Linked DNA regions of Schizosaccharomyces pombe. The protein of the gene in region 1 purifies or fractionates together with the protein of each later gene. This does not show direct contact. Each region holds a gene or a part of one and is shown in the gene's direction. Other genes may lie near its edges. The genes, in order: arc3 and rpn501.

The links.
Region 2: the proteins of arc3 (region 1) and rpn501 purify together in Schizosaccharomyces pombe (affinity purification with western blotting; one study listed by BioGRID). This does not show direct contact.

The regions. Positions count from the first base shown.
Region 1 is NC_003423.3:3,110,347-3,114,289, reverse strand, and holds arc3 (ARP2/3 actin-organizing complex subunit Arc21), read left to right. Parts: upstream 1-2,052; 5' UTR 2,053-2,085; coding exon 2,086-2,091; exon of another isoform or gene 2,092-2,137; coding exon 2,138-2,237; exon of another isoform or gene 2,238-2,317; coding exon 2,318-2,593; exon of another isoform or gene 2,594-2,689; coding exon 2,690-2,832; 3' UTR 2,833-3,090; downstream 3,091-3,943. Other genes in the region: SPOM_SPBC1778.09 (GTPase-activating protein), read right to left, coding at 322-1,566; SPOM_SPBC1778.07 (carnosine N-methyltransferase), read right to left, coding at 3,091-3,710, 3,828-3,943. UniProt on the Schizosaccharomyces pombe protein: Functions as a component of the Arp2/3 complex which is involved in regulation of actin polymerization and together with an activating nucleation-promoting factor (NPF) mediates the formation of branched actin networks.
Region 2 is NC_003424.3:1,264,466-1,268,311, forward strand, and holds rpn501 (19S proteasome regulatory subunit Rpn501), read left to right. Parts: upstream 1-1,803; coding exon 1,804-1,887; intron 1,888-1,934; coding exon 1,935-3,182; 3' UTR 3,183-3,315; downstream 3,316-3,846. Other genes in the region: chaperonin-containing T-complex epsilon subunit Cct5, read right to left, coding at 1-1,077; rsm22-cox11 tandem protein cox1101, read right to left, coding at 3,440-3,846. UniProt on the Schizosaccharomyces pombe protein: Acts as a regulatory subunit of the 26S proteasome which is involved in the ATP-dependent degradation of ubiquitinated proteins. Required for proper proteasome assembly.

The DNA.
Region 1 (3,943 bases):
TATAGTATTTATAATATATATACTTGAATTAATTTTATGTTAAAATTCCATTTCTTTTGGTGAGATGTTAAAATTATAATATTAGTAAGAAGAGAGAGTTAGATAGGATCGATTTAAAGCGCATACTCTTGATACCAATAAAAGTTTTGTGGTATCAAGGAAATAATGTTTATCAACGTTCCAAATTAAAACAGAAAAAGAAAATGATAAATGTTCAGGACCCATTATGCTAAGCTCTGTGATATCAATCCTCATCTTGTTGACATATGTTACATCATGTGGGCCACAATTAATAAAGCTATTAAAAAAGAGTTAGAAATATCAGTTTCTCTTACTTTTAGAAGAATTTTCAGAAGGCATTTTTTCCCAAAATAATTGAATTCTAGCAAGCAGGGCGTTATCGTTTTGAATGGGAATAACACCTGACAGAGCTTGCATTACTACTTCAAAGTCTGCATCAATTAGCGTGTCCCACATTCCTTGTATAACCGCAAGAGAAGTGGCTTGCAATAACCTGACAGTTTGACCTTTGCTTCCACCTAATAAAAACAGGAGATCCCATATACGTAATTGAGTATGGAAGGGCACGCATTGATGAAAAACAGTGAGATACCAACGTGTAGCAAAAGCAGATGGTTCTGCTCCAATTTCCGCCAGATGTCTGCCTGATTGTGTAAAACTTAACTCATGCTTAAGCATGTCAAAAGCCTTTAAAAGTGTATCAAACCCGGAAGAAAACAAGTCCCCCATGCCTCTATTTTCCAATAAATTTACCATCATTATAAATGCTTGTTCTTCGGGATAGTAAATGAGCAAGGTCGCAGCAATAGAAGCCATTCCTTGAACGTATCCAACACGAGGTATATAGAGAGCTACAGCATGAAGAACTCTAAATAGTAAACGTTGCCCTCCAATGTAGCGTTTTCGGAATAAGAAATGTGTAGCAGCTGTTCTGGGAACATCTAGGTCAATTTGAACATCATAGTCACAAATCTGCTCGTTCAATTGGTAATACTTGTCAATCAGTTTTTTATCAGGAAGAGAATCCACAAGAAAGGACCACCACGCAATAGATCGCCAACAATCTGGAATCCCCTTAAATGTACGTAAAATTAACTTACGAGTTTTTCGAAAAGAATGGAGCTGATTACCGGAAACGAGGTGTATTGAACACATCGATTTCCATTTTTGAATACGGGAAAGCTCTTTAGCTGATATTTCGTTGCGGTCATGCGACTCGCCGGGAACAACCATGAAGATGCTTTCATCAACGTACTTCAGCATGTCATCATGGCCGATTAATTTATTGCCAAGACGTTTGGCAGGGTTTGGTTTATCTAATGTTGGGTCTTTACTAACTTTATAGAACCCTAAATTATTAACATTAAAGTCTGAGCGATAGTTTCCGTAACGATCCACATTTTCCAATGACTCTTTTGTATCGATTTCTTGAACTTTTCCATTAATAGGTTCTGGTATATTTAAATTATTCTTGTCTTCTTGTAACCTGTACAACGACCGAATTCGTTGCAAATTGGTTGTTCTAGTTGGGGAAGGGTTTTCCATGCTCTTTCAGATATATCCTCAATTCCGTCACTCTGGAGAAAACAGATTACCTACTAAACTGTATTAAAATATCCAACACAGAAAGATTTAACAGGGGGGAATTGTTTCCGATGTAGTAATGTTTACGGTCCCAAAAGACCGTCTATCCCCATATAAGTCAGTACGTTAGATCCCAAAATCAAAATAACCAAACATGAAAATCTTTTTTTGACGTTTTTATAATTTTTCAAGCAATAAATGCATTCGTGCAAATGCTTATGAATTTGGTTCTCGCTACAAATTTATTGGCTCTATGTCATTTCCATTGATGAAAACTAGTTATAAAGTAGAGACCGAGACCCGATCACAAAACAAAAAAACGACACGCTATATTGCTTTACTGTAATTACATAGCTTTTCGCTATTTTGTTTAAAGAAAAGCTAATTTATCACTATTGATGCTTGACGAAATGCTCCCTATCGGCACATTCAGCAGGTGCTCAAGTTATCCAACAACATCATAAGCACTAGACATTAGATATGCCGGTATGTTCTAAAGTTTTGAATTTTTGTTGCTGACATGTTATGAAAGGCCTATCATTCCTCCTTCTTAAGTCTTACGGACGTCCCTACCACGGGAAACATAGCAATGCTGCCGTTGAAAACCAAGTTTCGTGGACCGGCTTATCCTGGTATGTTCCAGATATTTGTCAACTCTGTTTAAAGACTATTCTTAATGTTATTAGAGTACTTTCTAACATTTTTTATACAGCTGATGAGAGTCAAATGGATATTATTGATGAATGCATTGGGCTGTTTCGCGCCAATTGTTTCTTCCGCAATTTTGAGATTAAGGGACCAGCAGACCGTACTTTAATTTATGGAACATTATTTATCAGTGAGTGCTTGGGAAGAGTTAATGGACTCAATTATCGTGATGCTGAACGTCAACTTAATAGTTTAGCGTTGGAGAATTTTTCTATTCCTGGCTCTGCTGGCTTTCCCTTGAATGCATTATATGCTCCTCCCCTTTCTCCTCAAGATGCTGGTAAGATTCACCCAAACTGTGGCATTAGACATATAGATGTTTGTGCCGCTAATAGCTTTCTTGCTTTTTTTTTCATTTGCTAACTATTAAAAAAAGAAATAATGCGTACATATCTTACTCAATTTCGTCAGGAACTTGCTTATCGTCTTTTGTCCCATGTATATGCAACTGAAAAGGATCATCCCAGCAAGTGGTGGACTTGCTTCAGCAAGAGACGTTTTATGAACAAAGCTTTGTGAGTCTATTAATTAATAATTTGGCTCATACTGTATTTCAAAGCCTTTATGTTTTTCCGTTTCCTTTATTTCAAATGCGGCTTATAAAGTTTTTGAAGCGTACGAATGGCTTATTTAATGTAGGCAGTTTTATACGTAGATAGTAGATGCAAAAATAATCGCTTTACTTTCATGTACAAGTTATCAATTAGCTTTGTTAATTATGCTAAAGGAATATTTGAATGATTAAAGTCGTAATATTCAATGTTGGTTCAAAAATTTTTATTGAAATCGTAATTTTGATTTTTGCAAACGGCAGACCCAATAATGAGGATGGTATATCCATTCAAGCATACTTCGTTTGTCCCCCATATAAGTCGTGTCGACCGAATTGTGCTTTAAAACCTCAAATCCCATACTATCCATCACGTAAAACAGCTGCTCGAGAGTCAATTCAACGAAAGGTTGTTGCTGGCTATCACTGTTAGAATTAGAAGTACCTTCTGACTCAAAATGATACAATAAAGGCCCGAGATTTATCCAATAACCTCCATCTACCAAACAGTTTTTAATTGTATCCAAATAGTCCAGTATGTTTTTTGTAGTGTCTATAAAGAAGCAGGTAGCTACTACTTGAAACGAATCACGACTTTCTTCGGTGCCGTATACCTCCAGGAAATCCCCGGCTGCCATTGAAAAGTTTTGTGAATTCCGCAGATATTGAGAGGGAACTGCATCAGGAATATTTAATGAACGCACCTGGTCATCACGCATGACATGGTTCGAAAATGAATGAATATAAGGATACACAAGAAACTGATTTTCCTGCTTTACGCAATTCAGTATGAAATGCGACGTTAAAAGCATAAAATATGAGAACTCATTTCCTTGGCATGCAAAGCCTATTAAATGTTAGAAGCTATGTCCAAAAATCCAAATTTAGAAAGAAGTTAGAAAACATGTAATCAGATAAATAATAAATCATGCTATTTTTGATTGATAGTATCAAGTGTACCTACCTTCCACAGCTATATCAAAGGCCAATCTTCCTAAGCCGGAACCTGGAACAAGTACACGAATTTTAGATCTGTCTATAGAATCAGATGGGAAAAGTGAATTTAGTTCCTCGATGAAA
Region 2 (3,846 bases), on another chromosome or scaffold:
ACCGGCTGAACCAAGCTTATCAGACGAAAGATCCTCAAATCGGGGCACAATTCGTCCATTTGTAGCAATAGCAATCAATTCGATTTCGGGACCTCCCACCCAACGTACAGCCGGTAAATTATTTTGAAGAAGTAGATGGTTTGCTTCATCATCAAAACCCCATTGACATATAACAAGGTTAGCTCCTGCGTCCTTTACATGCTTAATCATTTCCTGAAATTTTTCCTTCTCATAAGCTTGAAGGGCTTCAAATTCACTCACTGATGTTATGTCCAACTTATGCTTAGTTTTTGGCTTTGGTGGTTCAAAAGGGCAGGTTAAAATAGCAATCTTTGCATTTTCAATACGATGAGGCATTTGTGGATGCGACATGTCTTTGTCCACCACAACACCCTTTACAAGCTTTGTATCATCCACTGAACCACCAACCTTGCCATCTACTTTAATGAGTTCAAAATCAACATCTTTTCTCTGCAAATCAGCAACAGAAAGGACCGCGTCCACAGCAATGTTTGCAAAGTGATCATGAGCTTTGGAAACCACTTTACTACCCAAACTAGTCTTAGCAGAACGAAATAAATTAGTAGTGTTTTCGGGACTAAAGTCGACAACATCTGAAATAGCATCTAAATGTTTAACAGCCACCTGGCATGCCTTTTCGTAACCATCTGCAATCCTTATAGGATGTATACCTTTGTCTATAAGTGCCTCGGCCTGCTCCAGTAATGCACCTGCTAGTACAACAACACCAGTAGTTCCATCCCCAATTTCATCATCTTGAGATTTAGACAACTGAACTAACAGCTTTGCAATTTGATGTTCAACCTCCATTTGGTCGAGGATTGTAGCACCGTCATTGGTAACCGTAATCTCTCCATCTGGAGAGATTAAAATTTTATCCAGTCCACGGGGACCCAAAGAAGTACGCACAATATTAGCAACTGTTTTGGTAGCTAATATGTGACTTTTTACAGCATCAATTCCATGCAATCTTCTCTTCTTTTCCTGGTCACGTACTAAAATGAAAGGATTTCCTTGATCGTCACGGACCATAACAGCGTTATCTAGACCGGCCATTTTGCTCATCTTGTTATTGTGAACTGTCGATGCAAATGAATTTCAAGTGATAAAACTGAACGCTACACTAACCCAAATCCTTGAAATACTTTTGAACGATTTCACAAAGAACCTTATCTCTTACTTCCCTTTAAATCGTTGAAATAACTTGAGGTTCAAGCTTAGGGTGTATTCTTTAGAATGTCGTTGAAAGCACGTCTAATATGTTGCGGCCCTTCAGCATTTTACGAACTTCTATAGAAGAAATAAGCACTATATTTCACTAATGTAAGCTACGCAGTTTGGTATCTGATTTAAGGATACGTAGAACTGCGGTGAGTTTTCCTTGTGGTCTATTATATTACAATACACAGGTTGTATAAGTAGCAACTGAGTATAGGTATTGTATTAACTGAGTTATAATGTTACCTATCACTAATATAGCTCATAACTGAACTGAGGAACGAGGTTCAGTTGTAACGCTATTTATAATATTTCTAAATAGTTGTTATCAACGGGTATCTATGTATATAGACGGATAGTTACCCGTGATTATCAATAAACGGATCTTAGCTAGTATTCCAACATATGACATATAGTGATACGCAACGTAGTGTATCATAGCGTAGTGTACTATTGCTGACAACTAAAGTATTTTGCGAGCGTGCGTTACAACTCTGTAATCATAAGAAATCAACTCGCAATATTAGTCTCAATTGTACACTCTCCAACAACCCACATATCGAAATGGAACAGAAACCGGAAGTTGATTACTCAGAGAAGTTTGCAGAGTTACAAAAAAGTTTAAATAACCTTAATACCATAGACATCGTACGTAAAAATCAAAATTTTGACTAATCTCTAACTTGTAATTGTAGGATGCGAACCTCGAGAAGCTTTTGATTTTTGAGAAGCAAGTTCGTCAGGCTTCTGACACCAGCACGAATACGAAAGTATTAATATACATTGCTGATTTGCTCTTTCGAGCTGGTGATTTCCAAGGCTTAAACGAACAGTTGGTTAGTCTCTTTAAAAAGCATGGCCAACTGAAACAATCGATGACAAGTTTAGTCCAACATGTAATGACCTATCTTCCTGGAATTGACGATTTAAAAACAAAAATTAATTTGATTGAAACATTGCGTACTATTACTGATGGAAAGATATATGTGGAAGTAGAAAGGGCACGTCTTACACAACTGCTTTCCCAGATTAAAGAAGAGCAAGGTGACATCAAATCTGCCCAGGAGATCTTGTGTAATGAACCAGTAGAGACTTACGGATCTTTTGATTTGAAGGAAAAAGTTGCATTCATTTTGGATCAAGTTAGATTATTCTTACTGAGGTCTGATTACTACATGGCATCTACTTACACGAAGAAAATAAATGTTAAGTTTTTTGAAAAGGAAGACGTCCAGTCTTTAAAACTTAAGTATTATGAGCAAAAAATCCGAATTGGTTTGCACGACGATGCATATCTTGATGTTTGTAAATATTATCGAGCAGTTTATGACACCGCCGTGGTTCAAGAGGACCCCGAGAAATGGAAAGAAATATTAGAAAATGTCGTTTGCTTTGCCTTGCTTACTCCTTATGATAACGAGCAGGCAGATCTTCTTCACCGAATTAATGCTGACCATAAACTAAATTCTCTTCCTTTACTCCAACAATTGGTTAAGTGCTTTATTGTCAATGAACTAATGAGATGGCCCAAAATTGCCGAAATCTATGGAAGTGCTTTAAGGAGTAATCCTGTTTTTGCTGAAAATGATGAAAAAGGTGAGAAACGTTGGTCTGAACTTCGTAAGCGAGTCATCGAACACAATATTCGTGTAGTCGCAAACTATTATTCCCGCATTCATTGCAGTCGTCTAGGAGTGTTGTTGGATATGAGTCCTTCCGAAACAGAACAATTTCTTTGCGATCTTATTGCAAAGCATCATTTCTATGCCAAGATTGATCGCCCAGCTCAAGTCATTTCATTCAAGAAATCTCAAAATGTGCAAGAGCAATTGAATGAGTGGGGTTCCAATATTACTGAACTTCTTGGAAAATTGGAAAAGGTAAGACAGCTTATTATAAAAGAAGAAATGATGAATTCTATTCAACAGGCGGTAGCCAAATAAATTGTTCCGTCTCTATTTCATTTCGTTACTTTCATGACTTTGTCATTTAAATAATATACTATTGGTTCAAAGGCCTTCAACTTTTTTTACGAGAATACAATAGTTTTAATGTCGAATTGCAACCTCGGAGAAAGTTATTCTAGTAAGTTTGTAGTGATTTTCGTTGTTATTTGTCTCGTAACTAGAAGGTTAACTTGATGAATTATTTTAAATAAATTATTGTAGTTCACTCAATATGTAGTCCCTTAATTTTTATTTCAGTTGAGTTTAGTTAAAAGATTGCCATTGGTATCATATCTGGCCTCAAAAAAAGTATAGCTTAGAAGAATATCGTCAATATCCTTCATATTTGGATCATCAGCAAATTCTGGATCTATAAAGAAAAACACAGGCAAGTCTACTTTTTCATGAGCATCTAGCTTTTGCTCTTCAAAGCAAAAGCATGCAACCTTTGAGAAGTAAACAGCGGCTTGACCTGGTACTATATTATAAGTTGCAACTCCTACTATGTCATGGTCGGACGTATTTTCAGCAGTATAAAACCCTAGAGCAGTCTCGCCTGGAAGAACATATATTTCACGCTGCTGGGGCCAAAGCTTCCAGCTAAGGTTTCCTGCAACGTCGCCATTGAAAGTAACTCTGATTCTTTTATTGTCTTTACGAG